2 linked regions of the Oryctolagus cuniculus genome follow. The protein of the gene in region 1 interacts with the protein of each later gene in a pairwise test. Links are inferred from orthologs where the notes say so. Each region holds a gene or a part of one and is shown in the gene's direction. Other genes may lie near its edges.

The links.
Region 2: the proteins of PER1 (region 1) and CRY1 interact in binary tests that used the Homo sapiens proteins (3 or more experiments, as listed by UniProt). The link is inferred for Oryctolagus cuniculus from reciprocal best matches to the Homo sapiens genes PER1 and CRY1.

The regions. Positions count from the first base shown.
Region 1 is NC_091448.1:52,634,065-52,646,041, reverse strand, and holds the end of PER1 (period circadian protein homolog 1), read left to right. Parts: exon of another isoform or gene 1-232; intron 233-371; exon of another isoform or gene 372-715; intron 716-2,218; 5' UTR 2,219-2,360; coding exon 2,361-2,635; intron 2,636-2,739; coding exon 2,740-2,838; intron 2,839-2,934; coding exon 2,935-3,089; intron 3,090-3,174; coding exon 3,175-3,296; intron 3,297-3,394; coding exon 3,395-3,596; intron 3,597-3,754; coding exon 3,755-3,806; intron 3,807-3,946; coding exon 3,947-4,089; intron 4,090-4,400; coding exon 4,401-4,479; intron 4,480-4,558; coding exon 4,559-4,665; intron 4,666-4,840; coding exon 4,841-4,994; intron 4,995-5,096; coding exon 5,097-5,205; intron 5,206-5,302; coding exon 5,303-5,434; intron 5,435-5,613; coding exon 5,614-5,719; intron 5,720-5,814; coding exon 5,815-5,986; intron 5,987-6,083; coding exon 6,084-6,214; intron 6,215-6,385; coding exon 6,386-6,565; intron 6,566-7,152; coding exon 7,153-7,392; intron 7,393-8,190; coding exon 8,191-8,801; and 10 more. UniProt on the Homo sapiens protein: Transcriptional repressor which forms a core component of the circadian clock.
Region 2 is NC_091442.1:109,554,300-109,566,276, reverse strand, and holds part of CRY1 (cryptochrome-1), read left to right. Parts: intron 1-5,210; coding exon 5,211-5,395; intron 5,396-5,770; coding exon 5,771-5,859; intron 5,860-6,389; coding exon 6,390-6,530; intron 6,531-6,611; coding exon 6,612-6,923; intron 6,924-8,012; coding exon 8,013-8,164; intron 8,165-8,389; coding exon 8,390-8,592; intron 8,593-8,701; coding exon 8,702-8,797; intron 8,798-11,977.

The DNA.
Region 1 (11,977 bases):
CCTGGAGACCTTTGCCGTGATTGGCCACGGCAGCCCCTGCCATTGTTGCCCTTCGCAGCCCCTATTGGCTCCGGCTGCCCCGTCCATTGTCTGCCTCTTCCCACTGCCCACTCAGCCCAGTCACACGTGGGCCCTCAACTGCCATCCTCCGGGATTTTAAGTGTCAGAGGAAGGGGCTTCTTCACCTCAGATGACAAGGCTGGGGAGGGAAGCCCAGGAGAGGCCAAGCCAGGTTTGTCTGCCCCTCCTCTCGGTGCCTGGCATCTCATCCAGCTGGGGCCAGCTCCCCCACTCCCCCCCCCCCCCAAAAAGACCAAGGCATCCTATTCTGCAAATCTTGTCCGTTCAGGAAGTAGACATCTCTTTGAGCCCGGGCATCTTCTCTCAGAAGGGGGCGGTTGACCTCCCTCTTCTCTCTGCTATTATTCACTGTGCTGGGCGGTGTCCGGGGCCCTTCAGCCCAGCGCCAGCACCCAGGTCCACGTGCGCCCGTGTGTGTGACACAGCCCTGACCTCAGTGGGGGCCGGCAGCCAATCGGGCGCCGGGAAGAGATCCCCAGCCAATCGGGGGCGGGGCTTGCGGCTCCGCCGGCAGGAGGCCAATGAGGGGCAGCGCCTGGCATTATGCAACCCGCCTCCCCGCCCCGCGGAGCTTCCACTCGGCTGCGGGCTGGAACTGCAGCGGACAGGCGGCGGAGGGCCCTCGCCAGGCCAGGTAGGCACCTCCGCGCCCACCCTGGGGCCGGTCTCGGTCCCAGAGCCGGACTGCCTCCACTTCCTACACGATGGACCACTTGGAGCCCGGACGCTCAGACGGCACACCAATAATCCACCTTCCCTGTCGCTGTCCACCCCCTTCTTGCCCCCAGGGACCTGGGTGCTCTTTGCAACCCTGCACCGGGCGTCCGCACTCCTGACCCGCTCATCTTACCTCCAGCTTCGCCCCACTCCGCCTCCCTACCTCCGGCCCCAGCCACCCTGGCCCCATAGCCGACCCTCAGCGAGCGTGCCCTGTTTCCTTTCTCGTTACTCGGGGGTCTGCGGGCTTGTCCTGACATCAGGACCCCTTCAGGCTCTCGGCGCTCCCTCCTCTTTCCGGGCCCTGGCCCCGCGCCGGCCGTGATGTCAGCCCGCTTCAGGCTGGAACATCCCGTTCCCGGCGCTAGTTCCTGTTGCTGGCCACAGCCTGCCTTTCTCCTGGCGCGTAGAAAATGCTTGAGGATGGGGGGGTGTGGTTGGGCCGAGAGTGGGGTTAGAACTGTCCCCTGGCTGTTGTGCGACCCCTGCCCAGAGCTTCGGACGGGGAGTGTGGGGTAGGGAGAGGATTCCCAGGTCCTTGACGCTAGCAGGTGCCAGTTTCGGCCCTGGTGGTCGGCAAGGGGGCAGGAGCCGGAGAAAGGTGGGCTGTGTCGTCTCCGCCAGAATGACGGGGACCCAGGCGAGAGCCAGGCTGGGGGGCTTCTGCACGGAGGGCCGTGGTGGTTGTGTTTCGTCCTGGGGCGGCCAGGACCAGCCCTGGAACCCAGAGAGGCGGCCCTTTTTCTTACGCCATCCCGCCGTCCAGACACTGGGGATATTTAGGGGTGGGCGACCCTCGGCCGCACCCGCCCGCCCGTGTGGGAGAGGGTCGATCTCCCACTTCCGCTGGGAAATGGGGGAGGGGTCGCCCCTCCCGCCCTCCTGTGGTCCCTCCAGCAACCGCTGAGCTCAGTGGCTGACGTCGGTTTCCCTGGCGACCGCGGCGGCGGAAGCGCGTGGTGGGGCCGCGCACGTCGGCGCGCATGTGCGGCGGGGGTGGCACCGCCCCCGGATAAAATTAGCCCGGAAGCCTAAATATAGGCGGCGATCGGCTCACCCCCTGCTCTGTGGCCTTAGAGTCCCCGGCCGAGTTGGGGGGGCCCTGCTGGGAACTTGGGCATGGGAAGTGTCCAGGCCTTGGCCCACAGCCATAGTCCTGGTCGATTGCTCGGGCGGTACAAATTCGCGCCACGCTGGCAGAGGATGTGGGGGAAGGCCAAGGGAGCCCTCTCCCACCTGCCGCACTCCTACGGAGACACAAAACAGAACCTCCCTCAGCTGCATGTTAGAAGGCCTGGGCCTGGGCCCGGGGCCCGGGAGCATGGGAGCAGGAAGGGGAGGGTCTTGAGAAGCCAGCAGGTGCTGTGGGGTTAGCGTCCCAGCTTTCCCTAAAGCTCTCTTTCCTGATCTCGCTCTCCAGGTGCTGGCCGTGATCCAACTTCTCAACCCTCCGAAACATAGATCTCCCACCTCACTCCCTCGGACAGGCCTGCTGGCCGCCGGGTGCATCCGTAGTGGCCTCTCCGCCTTCTCTCTTCTCCTGTCCTCCCCATGGCCCAGACATGAGTGGCCCCCTAGAAGGGGCTGATGGGGGTGGGGACCCCAGACCCGGAGAATCCTTCTGTCCAGGCGGGGTCCCATCCCCAGGGCCCCCACAGCACCGGCCTCGGCCAGGCCCCAGCCTGGCCGATGACACCGATGCCAACAGCAATGGCTCCAGTGGCAATGAGTCCAATGGGCCTGAGTCCAGGGGTGCCTCTCAGCGGAGCTCACACAGCTCTTCCTCCGGCAATGGCAAGGACTCTGCCCTGCTGGAGACCACGGAGAGCAGCAAGAGGTAAGTGCGTGTGCGTGTGTTTTTCAAGGCCCAGAGGTGGTGTAGGTGAGCCCCATGCTGCTGGCCACAGGCCCCTCATCTTGGGTCTGTTGCTTCTCCCCTAGCACAAACTCTCAGAGCCCATCCCCACCCAGCAGTTCCATCGCCTATAGCCTTCTGAGTGCCAGCTCAGAGCAGGACAACCCATCCACCAGCGGCTGCAGGTATGTGGGCTGAGGGCTGGGAGGGGGAAGGTGCGGGCTCCTGGGCCTCCTCCTGGGGCTCCCGTCTTCACCCTCTCCTTGTCGTGGGCCCTGCAGCAGTGAACAGTCAGCCCGGGCGAGAACGCAGAAGGAACTCATGACGGCGCTTCGGGAGCTGAAGCTTCGGCTGCCACCAGAGCGCCGGGGCAAGGGCCGCTCCGGCACGCTGGCCACGCTGCAGTACGCACTGGCCTGCGTGAAGCAGGTGCAGGGTGAGTGGTGCCCACCCAGAGGGAGTGGCCCAGGCCTGGGCTGCTGTGGGAGGGCAGCCCGTTTTTACCGATGGCCCCCCTGCAGCCAACCAGGAGTACTACCAGCAATGGAGCCTGGAAGAAGGCGAGCCGTGCGCCATGGACATGTCCACCTACACCCTGGAGGAGCTGGAGCACATCACGTCTGAGTACACGCTCCGCAACCAGGTCAGCCGCCGCCCGGCCCCTGCTCCCCAGCGCGCCCGACCCCCCCCACCCCCACCCCCCAGCTCCTGAATCTGCTCTCGCTCTCGCCCGCCGACCAGGATACCTTCTCGGTGGCCGTCTCTTTCCTGACCGGCCGGATCGTGTACATCTCGGAGCAGGCGGCCATCCTGCTGCGTTGCAAGCGGGACGTGTTCCGAGGTGCCCGCTTCTCGGAGCTCCTGGCTCCCCAGGACGTGGGCGTTTTCTACGGTTCCACTGCCCCGTCTCGCCTGCCCACCTGGGGCACGGGAGCCTCGGCAGGTGAGGTGCTCCAGTGCTTGGGAGAGGGATGAGCGGTCCCAGAAGCCCCTGCTGTTTGAGGGGCCAGGGGACGCAAGCTCTACCCTGCTGGGCCCTTCTCGGCCCAGGGACGGGGCCAGGAGTGCCAGGAGCTGTGCTCACTGCCTGCCTTGTCCCAGGTTCAGGCCTCAAGGACTTCACCCAAGAGAAGTCTGTCTTCTGCCGTATCAGGTAGGTCGGCGTATGGGGAGTGGGAGGAGGCCGCCCTCTCCCACCATCTCCTTGATTTCTTTGTCATGTGGGCCATGATCTTGAGGAGGGCTGGGTGGTTCCACACTGAAGGTCTCTAATGCTTCTCTCTCCCCGGCTAGAGGAGGTCCTGACCGGGACCCAGGGCCTCGGTACCAGCCATTCCGCCTGACTCCGTATGTGACCAAGATCCGGGTCTCAGACGGGGCCCCCGCCCAGCCGTGCTGCCTGCTCATCGCAGAACGCATTCACTCGGGCTATGAAGGTGGGCGGGCCTGGCTCAGGCTGGGAGGAGGACGGGGAGGCAGGAGCCAGGCCGGTAGGGTCTTGGAACAAGTCGAGCTGTCCTGAGGGTGAGGGTTGCAGCCCCCGGTAGAGGTAGAGCCCTTAGATAGTGGGGGGCAAAGAACGCCTTAGTTCTTTTTGGTGCAGATACTGATCCAAGGCACAAAGGATGGCCCAGGCCGTCTTTGCAGGCAGCCGGGCCCCAGGCAGGGCTATGGGGAGGCAGTGTGGAGGGCCGGGGAGCTGAACCCTTGCGGATGAAACTCCATGACTGCCCTCGCTGTGCCTCAGCTCCCCGGATCCCTCCTGACAAGAGGATCTTCACCACGCGGCACACACCCAGCTGCCTTTTCCAGGATGTGGACGAAAGGTGAGGTCCGGGCCCAGAGGCAGGGCAGGGGGTGGCCAGGGCGGAGGCCAGGGTCTCTCTGACTCCTCCTCCTGTTCAGGGCTGCTCCGCTGCTGGGCTATCTGCCCCAGGACCTCCTCGGGGCCCCAGTGCTCCTGTTCCTGCATCCCGAGGACCGACCCCTCATGCTGGCCATCCACAAGAAGAGTGAGCTCCTCTCGTCATGCTCTCCCTTCCTGGCAGTCCCTGGGGCTTCCTAATAGCTGCCCTCACAGTTTTGTCTCTGGGTGTCATGGTCATCTGGGTCTCGTCCCTCCCTCCCGCTGACCCCTCCTCGTTTCCCATGCCAACACGCCTCACCCCCCCCCTTCCTGCCAATCAGTCCTACAGCTGGCGGGCCAGCCTTTTGACCACTCCCCTATCCGCTTCTGTGCCCGCAATGGGGAGTACGTCACCATGGACACCAGCTGGGCCGGCTTCGTGCACCCCTGGAGCCGCAAGGTGGCCTTTGTGTTGGGCCGCCACAAAGTACGCACGTAAGTGTGCTGTGCCTCCCGGCTGACACTGGGGGCAGGGCAGGGCTGGACGGGTCGGGCGGACCTGGGGCAGGGCAGGACTCACCCTCCCCTACTCTGCAGGGCACCCCTGAATGAGGACGTGTTCACGCCCCCTGCTCCCAGCCCGGCTCTGTCCCTGGACCCTGACATCCACGAGCTGTCTGAGCAGATCCACCGGCTGCTGTTGCAGGTGAGGGTTGAGGGGAGGGGGCTTGGGAGGTGAAGGAGGGGCGGGAGGGGCGGGAGGCAGGCTGCAGACATCTCACGTGCCCCTTTCCCCACGGCAGCCTGTGCACAGCTCCAGCCCCACGGGGCTCTGTGGTGTTGGCCCCATGACGTCCCCAGGCCCCCTGCACAGCCCTGGCTCCTCCAGTGACAGCAACGGGGGCGATGCGGAAGGGCCCGGGCCTCCTGCTCCAGTGAGTGACCTGCCCCCGAGTCGCCCTTCTGTGCTGGGATCTGCCCTGCCAGTCCCGCAGCCTTGCCTTGGCCTCCTCTTCCTGTCCCCGCCCCCCTCCCCCACCCGCCTTGCTCCTGTAGGGGCTCCCTCCTCCCTGCTCGTGTCCTCTGCCACCCACCGCTGCTCTGTGTCCTGCAGGTGACCTTCCAGCAGATCTGCAAGGACGTGCATCTGGTGAAACACCAGGGGCAGCAGCTTTTCATTGAGTCCCGGGCCCGGCCTCCACCTCGGCCCCGCCTCCCCGGTGAGTTTGCCAAGGACCCGGGGGTGGGGGAGGCGTGAGACCAGAAGATTCCCCCGACCTCCACCTCCAACCCGCTTCCCTGAATCTTGCCCCAGCTACAGGCACATTCAAAGCCAAGGCCCTTCCCAGCCAGTCCCCAGACCCAGAGCTGGAGGTGGCCCCTGCTCCCATCCAGGCCCCGCTAGCCTTGGTCCCTGAGGAGGCTGAGCAGAAGGAAGCCTCCAGCTGCTCCTACCAGCAGATCAACTGCCTGGACAGCATCCTCAGGTGAGGCGTGCCTGCACCGGCTCCCCCTTGGGCCCGGTCTCTGCCCCCGCCCGCACCTGGATCCTGCCCTTAAGGCTGCCTGTTGTGTCGGCCGCAGGTACCTGGAGAGCTGCAACATCCCCAGCACAACCAAGCGCAAGTGCGCCTCCTCCTCCTCCTGCACCGCCTCCTCCGCCTCCGACGATGACAGGCAGAGGGCGGGTCCAGTCCCCATGGGGACCAAGAAAGGTAACGATGTCCCCGCCCCAGCCTGGTGACCCCGTGACTCTGCCCCTCTGCCTCTGGGACCCTACCTCGCTCTGCCTTGTCCCCCTGCCCTGCCTCCTGATCTCCGCCCCACCCCATAGCCCCTCTCCTGACCCCTGGCGGGGTGGTAACCAGGGCCATCTCTCTGCACAGATGCGGCGGCGGCAGTGCTCTCTGGGGAGGGGGCGACTCCGCAGAAGGAGGCGGTGGTGGGAGGCACCCTGAGCCCGCTTGCCCTGGCCAATAAGGCAGAGAGCGTGGTGTCCGTCACCAGCCAGTGTAGCTTCAGCTCCACCATCGTCCATGTGGGAGACAAGAAGCCCCCGGAGGCGGGTATGGGCATGGAGCCAGGGCGTAGCACCCGGGCTCCACTTGGTCCCCAGCCAGCCCCTTCCTGCCTACCCTTCCCCTCCCCCTCCCTCTCCCCCTCCAGGCCTTATGGAGAGAAAGAGGCCTCCTCTTAGTGGGGGCTGCTGCGGCTCGCCCTGCCCCTGCCAGCCTGTCTGCTTTGCCCCACTCTGCTCCTTGTGTTCTCGCCGTCTCTGGAAGCATAGATCTCGGGGGTGGCAGGGTTCAGCCTAGAGGTGCTGACATCAGGGTGTGTGTAGCGAGGAACTTGCTGAAGACCCCCAGAGGGTCTCTGGGTGCTGACCTTGAGAGCGTGTGAGGGGAGGGCGAGGAGGGGGCCTGCCCTCCTACGAGAGCTCTGGCGGTGTCATCCCGGGAACTTGGCTGGCGGGGCAGCAGCCACTGGAGGAGACCGGGAATGCTCGCGTCCCGGGACAGCTTTGCATGGAGTGGTGGGCTCAGGGGCTCGGGGCCCAGGGCTTAGCTATGCTGTGGGACGGGGAGGGTGTGTGTGGGCTTGTGCTGACCTGGAGGTGATTCTGATGACCTTTCCCCCATCTCCCCTTCCCTAGACATCATCATGGAGGACCTGCCTGGCCCAGCCCCAGGCCCGGCCCCCAGTCCGGCCCCCAGCCCCACAGTAGCCCCTGACCCAGCCCCAGATGCCTACCGCCCAGTGGGCTTGACCAAGGCCGTGCTGTCCCTGCACACACAGAAGGAAGAGCAAGCCTTCCTCAGCCGCTTCCGAGACCTCGGCCGGCTGCGCAGACTCGACGGCTCTTCCACGGCCCCCTCGGCCCCTGGCGAGCGAGGTAGCCACCGGGACGTCCCCGAGCCTGCCTTCTGCCCAGTCCAGGACCAGCCTGCCCCGGGTGGGTCTGGAGGGAGGTGTTCCTACTCCAGGGACGCAGGCTGGTGCTGCCTCCCCCTCCAGGGCCCTGCCTCAGGACGGGCCCCACGGTAGCCTCTCCCTGCCAGGCCGGGGTTCCTGGCTGCAGCCAGGGCAGCCTGGGGTCTGGCTCTGAGACAGGCAGGCGGAGGTGCTGTGCTCCAGGTAAGCTACCCCAGCCTAGCTGGGGGCGAGGGCAGGAGGTGGCGCAGGCCGAGGCGCAGCTGTCACTGATGAAGAGATCCATGCGGGCCCTGGGCCGACTCTGGGTGGAGTTGGGGTTTCAAGAGACTCGAGATTCAGACTGAGGCCTGGGCTGTCCTGCCCACCTCTTGCCACTGTGGAAAGCTAGGCAGAAAGAGCAGCACCAGGCTGGCAGTGTCTTCCAGAGTTCGGAGGATGAGTTGGAGCCACCTACCCACTGGTCCCTGGACCCACACTGCCTCCTCCCACCTGCCGGTGGGCCTCCTGCTCACCCTAGCTTGGCCTTCATGTAACCTTTCCTTTCCCTGGCTCCTTTCTCAATAAATTCCCTGGTGTTTGACTCCTGTAATTGTTCCCTGAAGCCCCCTCCCCCGCTGTGCCCTCTGCTCTGTGTGGGCGAGCAGCTCTCCCTGGAACCTTTGCCCGGCTTCCGTCTGGTCAGTGTCAGGGTGGTTGGGGGAGGCAGGGGCACTAACCCTCAGGCTGAGGCCCTCGCTAACGCCGTCTTTCCCTACAGGCTGCCACCACGGCCCTGCGCCCCCTGGCCGCCGACACCACTGCCGATCCAAAGCCAAGCGCTCACGCCACCACCAGACTCCCCGGGCCGAAGCCCCTTGCTGCGTTTCCCACCCCTCACCTGTGTCCCCCGCTGCTGCCTGGCCCTCCTCACCGGCCACCACGCCATTCCCAGCCGTGGTCCAGCCCTACCCTCTCCCAGTGTTCTCTCCTCGGGGAGGCCCCCAGGCTCTGCCCCCGGCCTCCACATCTGTGCCCCCTGCCACTTTCCCTGCCCCCCTGGTGACCCCAATGGTAGCCTTAGTGCTCCCAAACTATCTGTTCCCCACTACATCCACCTATCCCTATGGGGTGCCCCAGAGCCCTGCGGAGGGGCCTCCCACCCCTGCCTCCCAGTCTCCGTCCCCTTCCCTGCCCCCCCTGCCCCCCAGCCCCCCGCCACGTCCGGACTCCCCACTGTTCCAGTCAAGATGTAGCTCCCCGCTCCAGCTAAACCTGCTGCAGCTAGAGGAGCCCCCCCGTGCCGAGGGGGCTGCCGTTGCAGGGGGTCCCGGGAGCAGTGCTGGGCCCCCGCCTCCCAGTGAGGAGGCCGCTGAGCCAGAGGCCAGAATGGTGAGCACCGACCCCCTGCGTCCTACAGGCCCACCAGGCCCTCCCCATCCACGTCTGCTCCCTCTGCGCCTGCGCAGCTTCCTGCCCTGGGGTCACCTGGGCTGGGGTCTCTGTCCCCAGGAGTGGGTGTCGTGGGGCGGGAGACCCCAGCTGGATTTCTTCACCAGCTCTCCCCTCTCTTGGCCTGGGTGGGCCCCACTGTTGGGAGCGGGGACAGTGGGGACAGCTGGAGGGCTGTCCAGGCGCGGAGCCCACCATCGCTGCTGTTCCCTGCCGCCCTCCAGGTGGAGGTGACCGAGTCCTCCAATCAGGACGCGCTGTCTGGCTCCAGCGACCTGCTGGAGCTGCTGCTGCAGGAAGACTCTCGCTCTGGCACCGGCTCCGCAGCCTCGGGCTCCCTGGGCTCTGGCTTAGGCTCCCACGAAGAGGGCAGCACCTCGGCCAGCATCACCCGTAAGCCCACCCCCCCACACCTCCCTGGCAGGGGCCTTGGGAGGCCAGGCCCGCGCCGGGCAGCCCACTCAGCGGTTGCCCCTCACTCACAGGCAGCAGTCAGAGCAGCCACACGAGCAAGTACTTCGGCAGCGTGGACTCTTCAGAGGCAGAGGCTGGGGCTGCGCGGGCCAGGGCCGAGCCTGGAGACCAGGTCATTAAGTATGTACTCCAGGATCCCATTTGGCTGCTCATGGCCAATGCTGACCAGCGTGTCATGATGACCTACCAGGTGCCCTCCAGGTGAGGCGGGTCCCAGGCCTCTTCCACCTCCCTTGTTGAGGTGGTGGGGAAGGCAGCCCCAGCCCACCCTCCCTCCCCAGCTAACGTGGAGTTTTCTTCCCTGGGACTCTGTCCTGGAGGCTCCATCCAGCCCCTGGCCCCCTGGAGCCCCATCAGTAGTTTCCCCGACTTGAGAGCAGGTTGCCTGGGCTCCGAGAGCCATGAGCCTCCATCGCCCCAGCTGAGGGGAGGAGCACGAGGTAGTGGGCGGGGAGGTTGCTAGAGGCAGACTGCCAGCCTCGGGGGTCCTGGCCGCCTGGCCTTGGTCCTGGATCCTAGCCTCTGCCTCGAACCTTCCCCGGGCAGGGACGTGGCGTCCGTGCTGAAGCAGGACCGGGAGCGGCTCCGGGCCATGCAGAAACAGCAGCCTCGGTTTTCCGAGGACCAGCGGCGGGAACTGGGGGCTGTGCACTCCTGGGTCCGGAAGGGCCAGCTGCCTCGGGCCCTTGATGTGATGGTGAGAGAAGTCTGGGGGCGGGGGGCTGGCAGGGGATTGAGCACAAGTTCAAGGCAGAAAGGGTAAGGGCTGGGTCATGAATTCCATGAGCTGCTGGGTGGCGTGGCTGAACTGCCATGCACCTGCTCTTGCCCGTGCCCGTGGTGATGGTCCCCTAGTGGCATCTGGGTAGCCAGTAGGACCCCAGGTACACATTGGGAAGCACCGCTGGGCCCCGGGGCCGGGAAGCTGGGTTGGCGGACAGCCCTGAGGAGCCTCCTGCCTCACTCGTACCCCCTTTCTCTCTCCAAGGCCTGTGTGGACTGCGGCAGTAGCGCCCAAGACCCCGGCCACCCTGAGGACCCTGTCTTCTCGGAGCTGGAGGGACTGGGGCTGGAGCCCATGGAGGAGGGTGGAGGCGAGGGTGGTGGCGGCGGCGGTGGCGGCAGTGGTGAGGGTGAGGGTGAGGGTGGTGAGGAGGCCCGGGCCCAGGGGGAGGCCAAGGTCTCCGGCTCCCAGGACTCAGCCATGGAGGAGGAGGAGCAAGGTGGGAGCTCATCTGGTCCAGCCTTACCCGCCGAGGAAAATGGCACCAGCTAGGCTCCATCCGGGGGCCACCTCTGGGCGGGGAGAGGCATCCTTCTGTGTCCTCATGTCAGAACCCAGAGGTGGCCAGACCAATAGGAAACGGCCCCAGCTCGTCGGGGGCGGGGGCTGGACCCATCACCAGCCCGGGATCCAGGGACTGCCTCTGTCCTGTTAGGCAACAGCGGGTGGAACTCCCCAGCGCAGCCTGGAGGGGTGTCCCCTGCCACCCCTGGTGAGGAGCGCGCCCTGCCCCAGCCCAGGTTGCTGACAAGCTGCTCAAGCAGTCCCGCCGGACCCCACGGAGCCCCAGCGTCAGCCCGAGGGTTCACTGCACTTATTTATTGGGGAGATGGCTCTCTCTCCCACCTCCTCCCCACGTGGGCCGAGGGACTGAGGGCCAAGCAGGACCCAGGGGTTCGAGCCCCTAGCTGCTCCAGGGTGGGGGAGGTTGGTGGACCACGGAGTCCCTGGTGCTGCCCCTCAGGTGGGACCCAGGCGTTCTCAGCTGTTCCCTCTACCAATGGCATTTGTGTTTTTGATATCGTGTCTGTTATTATTTTTGTAATACAAAACCGGAAAAACAAAAACCATCAGGACTTTGTGGAATGAAGTTTGGGAGCGGGGAGCTGGAGCGGGGGGTGGGGTCCCGCTCCCCCGGAGGGCTGCCTGAGGGTGTGGGCGCTGCTCTCCCTGCACCTCCACTGAGGGCCCTTGACGGCTGCAGACGTCAGCACCAAACTCCGACTCCACGCTCGCCCGCGCATGGCCTCAGCTGGTGTCCCGGGAAGGAGAGATGGATGGAAGGGGCCCGGCTCCTTGAGGTCACCACACCGAGGGGGTGGGGTAGGGGAGGCCCTCGGGCAGCGTCAGCCTAGGTGCTACGGGCACCCGTTGTCCTGCACCCATGGGGAAAAACTGGGCGGGACGTTGACCTCCAGCCCGGACCCCGAGGGGCAGGGGCGAGCCGGGGGTGGAAGGACGCGGCGCCGGGCCTCTCCGCAGCCTCGTCGATGGTGTCTCAAAACAGCTGATGTGCCGCGAGACAGGCCCGCCTTCCCGCCGGCGCCGTGGCTTAGCTGGTTAAAGCGCCTGTCTAGTAAACAGGAGATCCTGGGTTCGAATCCCAGCGGTGCCTCAGCAGCCGAGGGTGGTTTCTTATTGCCACGCACACATCGCGTCTCGACGCGGCCCTTCCAACGATTCTTCTTCTTACCAAGCCCAACCGGCCTCCCGTTCTCGTGCAAAGTCTCACTTCGCCCTCGAAGGCCCGGGAGGAGAGACCCAGACTTGTTCTCATTTTGGTGGGGTCGTCCCGCCGCTCGGCGACCGGAGGGAAACCCGGAAACGCGGCGCCCCAGCCATCGGCATGCGCACGCGC
Region 2 (11,977 bases), on another chromosome or scaffold:
GATTTGTTAATTTATAGAAACTTTTGGTATAAAGTCATTTTAATGACTACTAAAATCTTATAACTTACTTACCTTTAAAATTGTTTTGGAGGCCAGTGTGTGGCACAACAATTTAAGCCACCACTAGCAATGCTGACATTCCATGTCAGTGCCAGTTGGAGTCGTGGCTACTCTGCTTCCCATCCAGCTTCCTGCTAATGTATCTGAGAAGGCAGTGTAGGATAGCCAAGTACTTGGGCTCCTGACACCCATGCAGGAGACCAGAATGGAGTTCCTGGCTCCTAGCTTCGGCCTGGCCCAGACCTGGCTGTCGTGGCCGTTTGAGAGATGAATCAGCTGATGGAAGATACATTTCTCTACCTCTATTTCTGTCTCTGTGTGTCCCTCCATCCCTCCCTTCCTCCCTCCCTCTCCCCTCTCTCTGTTGCTCTTTCAATCAATCTTTTTTTTTTTTAGGATTTATTTATTTGGAAGGCAGAGTTAGAGCGAGCACACATTTCATTTGCTGATTCACTCACCAAATGGCTGCAATGGCTGGAGCTGAACCAACCTGAAGCCAGCAGCCAGAAGCTTCTTCTAGTCTCCCACATGGGAGGGGCCCACGAATTGGCACCATCTTCTGCTGCTTTTCCCAAACCATTAACAGGTAGTTGGACTGGAAGTGGTCAGCCAGGACTCAAACTAGCACCCATATGGGATGCTGGCACTGGAGGTGGTGGCTTTAAACACTATGCCACAGTGCCAGCCCAAGGTAAATAAATCTTTTAAAAATAAAATGAAATTATTTTTAGTTATTTACACATTTTATCAAGTTAAACTAATTTTATAAAGTGATAAACTAGTCACTTTTAGTCTATGTCTCCAAGTGTATCAAAAAATCATGTTTGGATTCAGTCAGGAATCTTCCTTGATATTATTCTACAAGTCATTTGAGAGTACTTCAAAAAGGTTATAAAAATATAATTAAAATATGGTTGTTTTGGTGCAAAAAATGAAATCTGTGTATATGTGGAAGCTTCAAAGTGTTCATGAAATTGCATATTATGAAAAATTGCATAGATGTAAAAAATTTTTGCACCAAAAATTTTAATTCCATTTTTCTGTGAATTTTTTTGAAGTTCCCTCATGTATCTTTGGAAAATAAACTTCCTATCTAGTGTACCAGTTTGCTTAACTTTAGGGAGCTGATGGCAAGGAAAGGACAAAACAGTGTAAGAGCAGTTGATTTCTAGGTGGAAGATTCAATATTATGCATAAAATTAGTGTTTATTGGATTAAATGTGAATATTTACTGTATGTCATATCATAACAAAGTTTGACTTTTTAATTTTTTTTTAATTTATTTATTATTGGAGAGGCAGAGTTACAGACAAAGAGAGGGAGAATTAGAGAGATCCTCCATCTCCTGGTTCACTCCTCAGTGGCCACAATGGCCAGAGCTGGGACAGTCCAAAGCCAGGAGCCAGGAGTTTCCTCCAGGTGTCCCACGTGTGTACAGAAGCCCAAGCCCTTGGGGCCGTGTTCCACTACCTTCCCAGACCATTAGCAGGGAGCTGGATCCGAAGTGGAGCCACCGGGACTTGAAGTGGTGCCCACATGGAAGCCAGCTACCGCAGGCAGTGACTTAACCTGCTATGTGACAGTGCCAGCCTCAAGGTTTAACTTTTAAAAAATATTTTTTCTTACATTTTATTTTTGCTATTGAAATGTAGTGAACATTGTCCCCGTAGTATCACTGCTGTATCATTACAGTCAATAAAATTATTGTGATCCAATGTATAAACTCAAAATATTACATTTAATTTAAATAAAGATAATTTACTTTAAAGCAGGAGAAGATAAGCTTTTTTGTTGATTACTTTCTATACATGCATCTGATACATAATTACACAAAGTATAATGAAAAATACACTGTATTTGAACTAAGAAAATCTTTTTTTTATTATTTTTTTTAACTTTTATTTAATGAATATAAATTTCCAAAGTACAGCTTATGGATTACAATGGCTTCCCCCCCATATCGTCTCTCCCACCCGCATCCCTTGATATGTCATTTATCAGTTATGTGACCTTGATTAATTTGCTCAACTCTTCTGGTAGGCTTCAGTGTCTAGCTCTATAAAATGATGGAATTGAACTTTACCTCTGATTCTTTTTTAAGGCCAAAGGCTAAGCAAATGAAAAAGAATAGTTATTCCAAAATACTGTCTAATCTAGACCATCATTGGCAAAGCTAGTTATTCTCTTTTTAAAGTATTACTTGGGGGGGGGAGGCTGCGCTGTGGCATAGCAGGTAAAGCCACTGCCTGCAGTGCTGGCATCCCATATGGGTGCCGGTTCGAGTCCCAGCTGCTCCACTTCTGATCCAGCTATCTGCTATGGCCTGGGAAAGCAGAAGAAGATGGCCCAAATCCTTGGGTGCCTGCACCTGCATGGGAGACCCGGAGGAAGCTCCTGGCTTCGGATCAGCGCATCTCAAGTCATTGCAGCCATCTGGGGAGTGAACTAGCGGATGGAAGACCTCTCTCTCTCTGCCTCTCCTTCTCTATATATAACTCTGACTTTCAAATAAATAAATAAATCTTTAAAAAAAATAAAGTATGACTTGGTTGAGGCAATTAGAAGTGAGTAGTAAATATAAAAGCTACTTAAATCTAAGTAAGTTGAAATTTTGGGCCTTATGTGTGGTAAGAACAATAGTAACCCCCTTATTCTCAGGGAGTACATTCCAACACCCTAATGGAGCCTAAAACTACACATAGCACCGGCCCCTAAATATACTGTTTCTGTTTATATACTTATGATAAAGTTTTATTTATAAATTATAAGGCATGAGATTAATGAGTAATGAAATAGGACAATTATACTGTAATAAAAGTTTTGTAAATGTGTCTCTTTCTTTCTCACTTGAATTGATTAATATTTTTGGCTGAGGTTGACCACAGGTGTCTAAAACTATGAAAAGCAGAAGTGTAGATAAAAGGAGACTACTGTATGTGGGCTATTGTATATGCTATATATATAAATTATGATATCTTTTTAAAGATTTTTTCATTTGAATGACAGAGATCGTGGGGGAGGATGTGGGGAGAGAGAAAGAGGGAGATCAGACTTCCATCCACTTGTTCACTCCCCACATGCCCACAACAGCCTGGGTTGGCTCAGGGAGAAACTAGGAACCTGGAACTTAATCCTGGTCTCCCACATGGCTGGCAGGGAGCCAACCACCTGCACCTGCTGCCTTCCAGGGTGCATATTAGCAGGAAGCTGGAATTAGAAGTGGAGCTGGACCTGAACTCAAAGACTCTGGTATGAGATGTGGGCGTCACAAGTGGCAACTTAACCGCTGCATCATTTACCTCGGATGCCTTTCTCTTTAGTGAAGGAGTGGGCACAGTAGAACATAGCAAGTAATTGTCACTCCAGTAATATAAAATCCTAATTAGTGAAACCTGCTGAGGAAAATGGGGAGACATAGGTCAAAGGATATAAATACCAGGCATGTAGAATGAACAAGTATAGAAATACATACCATGAAGGTTAGTTAATAAAATACTATGTTTGAGATTTTTGTTAAATGAGTATGTTTTAGCTGCTCTTGTTACAAAAAAGGTAACTGACATTGTAGATACATTAATCTGGTTTACCCTAAGTAACCATTTACCCTCTATGAAGGGACTTCAAAAAGTTCATGAAAAATGGAATTTAAAATAAAAATTTTTGAAGTCCATGCATTTTTTTCATGATATACATTTTCTGTGACTTTTTTGAAGACTCCCTTCATATATGTATTCCATAGCTTCAGCTTCATGTTGTAAATGTAACATACATACAATAAAGTTTTTTTTTTTTTTTAAAAAAAGAAGGTAAGACTTATGATTACTCCTTGCTATAATTATCAGCCTAATTTAGTTTTTAGACTTTACTTATGAGACAGAGAGAGAACTCACATGTGCTAGTGGTTCACTAACCAAATGCCTGAGAGCTGGAAACACAATCCAGATTTCCCACCTGGGACGTAGCAGCCTAACTACTTGAGCCATCACCTGCTGCCTCCAGAGTACACATTAGCAGGAAGCTGGAATCAGGAGCAAACCAGGACTTGAACCCAGTACCTTTTTGTTGTTGTTATTGATAAATATTTATTTACTTATTTGAAAGTCAAGGGTTACAGAAAGAGCTTCCATCTGCTGGTTCTCTCCCCAGATGGCTGTAATGGCCTGGGCTGGGCCAGGCTGAAGTCAGGAGCCAGGAGCCAGGAGCTTCTTCCAGGTCTCCCACATAGATGGTAGAACCCAAACACTTGGGCCATCTTCCACTTCTCCTTCCAGGCCATTAGTAGGGAGCTGGATTGGAAGTGGAGCAACTGGGACCAAGCCAGTACCTTTATGGGATGCCTGCATCACAAGTGGTGGCTTTACCTGCTTCACCACAGTGCCTGCCCTATGTTGTTTTGGACGCCTTAACCAGCATCTTAACTGCACACTGATTTAATTTTTATTGATGATTGAAGAATTCCTTGAGCTTGGTTGTAATATGTTTTTCACATGTCCACATGTGTTAAAGTTTTTGTTATAGGGGCCAGCATTGTGATGGGTTAAGCCACTGGTGGCAATGCAGGCATCCAATATGGGTCCTGGTTTGAGTCTTAGCTGCTCCACTTCTGATCCAGTTTCCTGCTAATGTGCCTGGGAAAGCATCAGAGAATGGCTCAAATGCTTGGGCTCCTATATTAAAGTAGGAGACTAGGAAGAAGCTCCTGGCTGCTGGCTTTGGCCTGGCCCAGCCCTAGCCATTGTGGCCATTCAGGGAGTGAACCAGTGGATGAAAGACCTCTTTGTTTCTTTCTCTCCCTATCTGTAACTCTGCCTTTGAAAGGAATAAAATAAATCTTAAAAAAATGTTTTTGTTATTGTTTTTAGGCTACTATAGCTGCTTGATTTTTTCACTCATAAGTCGTTAGTACTCTTCATCTTAAAGGTTATGGTATTTGCATAGTGTATACTTTTGACATCTTGCAGATATCTACAAAATGAAGAAAATGTGTTTTAGACTCATTAACTATTTGAATACATTTCCTGGTCATGTAAGAAATTGTCATTCTATTAGAACTCTTATGTGATTAATTATTTTCTGATTTTAAGCCTTTTTTAGAGCTCATCACACCAATGTATCTTATATTAACTGCTCTTTATTAACTCTTATAACAGGATCATAGAACTCAATGGTGGACAACCGCCTCTCACTTATAAAAGATTTCAGACTCTCATCAGCAAGATGGAACCTCTAGAGATCCCAGTGGAGACAATTACTTCAGAGGTGATAGAAAAGTGCACAACTCCTGTGTCTGATGACCATGATGAGAAATATGGAGTCCCTTCCCTGGAAGAGCTAGGTGGGTGTGAACTGTAATAAATGTGGAACTTAACAGTTTGTAAGTCATAAATGACTCATAAAATTTTACCTCTGATTTTTCCACATGAAGTATTAATACATTAAAAGGGAAACGGTGAGGGGGGAAAGAAAGAAGAAGAAAACTGCTAAACTAAGAAATGATAATTCTGTAGTTATTTATGTGCTCTCTCTATATCTGTTGCTATCACCTTAAGATGTACATCCTAAAGAACAGAGACTATGTCATAGCATCTCTCCAGGCCCTCAATTCGCTCATGCTGTTCTCATAATTTTTCTGCAAAATAATTGTTTTCACAACTGTGATTAAATAAAAAACGTTTTAGTTCCAGAAAATTGATTATTTGTTTTTTTGTAGGTTTTGATACAGATGGCTTATCTTCTGCAGTGTGGCCTGGTGGAGAAACTGAAGCACTTACACGTTTGGAAAGGCATTTGGAAAGAAAAGTATGACAATTTAGATCATCTAGCCATGTTTTATTTCCAAGCTGGCATTTTAAAAATAATTTCATTCTCTTTTAAAAACAAAAAGTAGAATGTTGAAAAAGAAGAGTTCAGGGAAATAAAGTTACACAAACCTAAGTATTTGAAAATTAACTACCTCATTTAAATGCCCTTTCTCCTGCTTTTCTGATTATTTTTCTTGGTTATTTCCTATCTTTCTACTTAACCTGGTTTCCGATGACCATAATTTTGGAATTAGAATAGAATCCTCTGTTAACCTCAGTGGGCAGTGGAAGGTAATCTCAGGCATGTGTTGGGAGTTTGAAGGTTATGTGTTTCACATGAGTCTGTGCTGCATGATAATTGAAATGAAAGAATGCTTACTTTTCTTTCATGTTTAATAAACATATGTAACTTGTGGCTTGGATAATAAATTATTCCCAGAGAACTGGGAAACTTTTATTAAAAAAAAAATCTGTTTTGAATACTGTGTTTAAGTGGGAAAGACAATGTGATTCTTTCTGTGTTTTCAGGCTTGGGTGGCAAACTTTGAAAGACCTCGAATGAATGCTAATTCCTTGCTTGCAAGCCCCACTGGGCTCAGTCCTTATTTGCGATTTGGCTGTTTGTCATGTAGACTATTCTACTTCAAACTGACAGATCTCTACAAAAAGGTACTTTTTAAAATCAGTGCTTACCTTTCAAAATACATTTTTAAAACTTGCTGATAATACTTCTTTGCCTTTTAATCATAGGTAAAGAAGAACAGTTCCCCTCCTCTTTCTCTTTATGGGCAGCTATTGTGGCGTGAGTTTTTCTATACAGCAGCAACAAATAATCCACGCTTTGATAAAATGGAGGGAAACCCCATCTGTGTTCAGATTCCTTGGGATAAGAATCCTGAGGCATTAGCCAAATGGGCTGAAGGTCAAACAGGCTTTCCGTGGATTGATGCCATCATGACACAGCTTCGTCAGGAAGGGTGGATTCACCATTTAGCCAGACACGCAGTTGCTTGCTTCCTGACACGAGGTGACCTCTGGATCAGTTGGGAAGAAGGCATGAAGGTAAGTGTTCTAAGAACTGTAGCCAGGTCTTTGAAGGAACTCCAGATGTTGTATATTGTACAGATTCATTTATAATCTAGTGTTTCAGTGAATAAAACTTTTAATCACCACAGTATAGGCATACTTTTGGACAGCAGGATGGTATAATCAGACAGGAGAAATGCTGAAAACTGGCTAAGACAATAGACCTAAACTCATTTAAATGTTTAAAGCAGGCTGTGATTTAAGAGAACTGTAAGATTTAGCATTCTGGAGTTATCGTGTAGATATATTTATATGTATTCATTTCTGTCACAAAAAAGATTTGCCTAAGAATTCTCAGAAATAGTGAATTTATATTATAAATCTTAGAATGTAAATCATTTCACCTTACTTCAACATTGTAACTTTTTAGTAATATTTCTGTTATGTAAAGTGAAACATACTATGTTTTATGATATCATATTGTGGTTTTATGTAACAGGATTTACAAATATGTTCTCCCTTTCTGACATTATTATAAATTTTCCCTATCTAAGGACCAATTTTGAGCCTTTTTTTACATCTCCTTTATTTCCTTGTACAAAATTGTATATAAAGATGTGTAGCAAAAACTTAGTCAATTTATAATCATTTATTTAACTCTATTTTTTGAATCAAGAAATTTAAAACTTAAATTGTGTAATATTAGTACATTTTTAAAGTACATTTGTATTTAAGTGTGCTCCCTTTATCTAGGCCACTATGCCAAGCTTCTAAGTTTTTGTTGGTGATTTATTTGGTAGTGGTTTTGCTTTTTTGAAAGTGGTTTACTGTTTTTTCTCTGTTAATATCCTATCTTTTAAACCAGTGACTCTAGTAATTTTTTTACCCTTCCCCCAGTAACACTGCAAGGATTGGAAAAGTAAATTCTCTAATCTATATTACCAATATTTTTCTTTCCCTGCTATTCCTCATTATAGAACAAACAAGGAAGCTAACTGGAATGTTTTGATTTTACAGTTTTGTGCTAATTTTCTTTGCCTTGACTTTTGATCTACAGTGACCTCAAAAATGCTTGCTTTGAGAATTATGTGTGTGCAAACTAATTGGTTACTGTTACTTCTGAAGGTATTTGAAGAATTATTGCTTGATGCAGATTGGAGCATAAATGCTGGAAGTTGGATGTGGCTATCTTGTAGTTCCTTTTTCCAACAGTTTTTTCACTGCTATTGCCCTGTTGGTTTTGGTAGGAGAACAGATCCCAATGGAGACTATATCAGGTAAATCAAGGGTTATTACTCAGTTTGGAATAGCTAATCCAGAAGAGATTTTCATGTTTAAGCAACACTTTAAGTATTCCCCTCTCAAGATGGGCAGCAGAAATAAGGAGAAGGGTAAACAAATCATTTAAATGGTATTGATTTGATTTTGGTCACTGATAGCTGGTAGTTTCTTACAGTTTGCTCATAGTACATTTTATTAATTTTTCTTCCTTTTCCCAAAAGGCGTTATTTGCCTGTTCTGAGAGGCTTCCCTGCAAAATATATCTATGATCCCTGGAATGCACCAGAAGGTATTCAAAAGGTAGCCAAATGTTTGATAGGAATTAATTATCCTAAACCAATGGTGAACCATGCTGAGGCAAGCCGTTTGAATATTGAAAGGATGAAACAGATCTATCAGCAGCTTTCACGATACCGAGGTCTAGGTATGTTGATAGTTGCCTTTGATTTGTTGTTTGGGCAGCTGTTTCTGTATTTACTCTTGATTTTGATCTTGATCATAATTTGATAGGATTTTTTTTTTTTCCTGTTCAGGTCTTCTTGCATCAGTACCTTCTAATCCTAATGGGAATGGAGGCCTCATGGGATATTCTCCTGGAGAAAATATTCCAGGTTGTAGCAGCAGTGGAAGTAAGTGAAAAAGAAATTATTGTACTTCATCACATAAATAGATTACCTATAACAATCTGTCTTTAAAGTTAATATAATAGGTCTATACCCATGCACACACACATATCACCTCACTCTGTTGGTGACATTTTAGAAATGGAAAACATTACATGTAGTAAATACTTAGATCAAGTTAAAGATCTTGCAAACTGGATGTGGACAATGATTTTAAGGGTAAAATGAAATTCGCAACTCTTATTTTCAGAATGTTCATTATTTTTTATTCTCTTTGGGTGTGTACCAGCTATAAGGTAATTAGTGAAGGTCAGTGACCCTGTAAAAATCGTCAAGAGATGTATCATTCATGCACAGAGCATCTAGTCCTTTTATATATGGGGTTTTTTTTCTTACAAAGTCTGGTCTGTGATAGTTTTCTGTATGATATATATTTAGTACCAACTAAATCCTTTAAAAAAAAGTTATTATTTTAAACACAGAGTGACAGACAGGGAGGGAGGTAGGAAGGGACAGAGATACAGATTTTCCATCCATTGATTCTCTCCCCAAATGGCCTGTGGGCCAGACCAAAGCCAGGAGCCTAGGACTCCATCCAGGGCTCCAATGTAGGTCCCAGGAGCTCATGTACTTGGGCCACCATCCACTGCTTCCCAGGTACATTAGCAGGGAGCTGGATTGGAAGCATAGTAGTAGGGATTCAAACCTGTGCTTCAGTATAGGATGGCAACATCGCAGTTGGCCATTTAACCTGCTGTACCTCAACACTGGCCCCATCGCGTAAATTCTTAATATATGTGACATTAATAATGTTAAATTGGTATGTATTGGAAATTTGAATCATTATGTCAGGAACTTCTTTCGGGTCTCCCAAGTAGGTGCAGGGGCCCAAGCACTTCGGCCATTTTGTGCTGCTTTCCCATGTGCACTAACAGGGAGTGGGATTGGAAGTGGAGCAGCCAGGACTTGAACGGGTGCCCATATAGGATGCCAACACTGCAAGTGGTAGCCTAAGTTGTTATGCCACAGCAATGCCCCACAAAATTTGTTTTTGAAGTTTTCACTGTAAGTTTCCCTTCTTATATGTTCTTGGTAGTTTGTAATTTAACTTTTCTAGTTACTCTGAAGACATGACTATGAGGACTTGTGATTTTTGTGACTAAACAAGCTAACTGATCAATAGGTCTCTGTTCTTTGCTCACTATCTCTTATACCATTATTGACATGAAAATAAAATCTACATTTTATGGGAAAGTTATAGACTATAGTGGTATTCATGAATTCACGAAGTCAGAAGACCTTAAGGCCTTCCTATCATATAGCCCTATAAAGAAAGAAATATCTTAAAGAAATTCCGAATATATTTATTAAGCTTATTAATTTCCCCTTCTTCTCATAGGTATTTACCCTCTTGATTCATAGTACAATAATTTTTGTCTATGTTGTTAACTTTATAGGAATGGAATCATCTAGTTTGTATTCTTTTTTGTGTCTGCTGCTTTCATTCAACATTTTGTTCTTGAAGTTACTCACATTTACCTTAGTACTAGAAGAAGGAATAGAATTGATGACCTTACTTTTCTCTGAAGAGAGGATAGAACTTCCACTTCACTTATGATCTTGTCTAAATACTGATGGAGTTTGTAGATTCAAAAGGCTTCTGTGGCCTAGGCAGCTCATGTGAAGAGCCTTGGGTGATCACTGACATAATAACAAGAGTGTTAATTGTTAAATTAACAACAAGAGTCACTATGCACTAACTTCCCATGCAGGTTTTTTGTTTTTGTTTTTATTTTACTGTGCAAATTGTTGAACTCTTTACTTACTATAGAGTTGGTCTTCTGTTGATAAAGTTAATTGAAAATGGATCTTAGTGGAGAATGGGACTGGGAATGAGAGAGGGAGGAGGAGGAGGGGTAGAACAGTGGGTGGGAGGGTGGGTATGCTGGGAAGAATCACTATATTCCTAAAGTTGTACTTAAGAAATGCATGAAGTCCATATTCCTTAAACAAAAGGTTTCTTTGGGGGGAAAATAAATAAAAAGAATGGGTTACCTTGAGAAAATAAAACTAAAGGTGACTAGTTTATTGCTTGTCTGAAGGGCCATCTTTATGAATCTCCCAATAAAACTGACCAATCTTTTCTCAGAGTCCCTATTGTATTCTGTACTAAAATCCATCCAAACACCTAATATCACTTTTATACTAAGTGATTTGGTGTAGTTGTCTCCTCAGATTCAGCTATGAATCCCTTGAAGGCAGATCCCATATCTTAGTTATATTTGTATCCCTAGTACCTGATATAATCCCTGGCATTCACAGGCATTTAGCACATGTGTTAAATATAAATGAAATGAGGAAAGTGTAAATAAATATAATTTAATATATATTTGTTTGTTGCTGCGCTGGATTCATTCTGAGAGGAGGCGCATGGTGGTGGCAAGAGGCGCGGAGTCACCACACAGACCCCAGGAGTCGGGTGAAAGCAGGCCAGAGGAGAGCAGCCCGCAGACTCGTTTATTTCAGTTGGTACAGCGGCTTAAATAGCCAAGGTAGCCAATCCGATCAAGGGGTGGTTTATGCCCTAACCAATCACAGCCTGTTGCCAGGCAGTATCCGAAGCCATCCAATCACAGCCTGTTGCCAGGCAGGCTCTTTTGCCATGTGGTTTCCAAAGCTATCCAATCACAGCCTGTTGCTGGGCAGGCTCCATTGCCAGGTGGGTTTCAAAACCATTCCTGAGTAACTGACCCTTGCTTGCCAGCGGCCATCTTGGCATGGCCTTCTCACTCCACCACATTTGTTGACCTTTTTAGTGATTAAAAACATGTAATATAAATGTTACCATTTTAATCATTTTTAAGTGTACACTTCAGTGGCATTCAGTATGTTCACATAGTTGTGTGAAGTTTTGCATAATGTTATATAGTTCTACATGGTGACAGGTATCACTATTAGGACAAGTGCCCCTGTTGGCAAGCTAAAGAGTAGCACCATTTAGTGGTGAATTTGCCATAGTTCAGAATCTGACCTTTATTAGCCTTACAGGTCCAAAAATAAGATTTTTTAAGTATAGAGATGACTATTTTATACATGACAGACTAGAAATTTGAAAGTAGTATGAATTAAAGTATCAATGGGGAGTATTACTTTATTAATTTACCATGAAGATATCCCTTTGCAGTG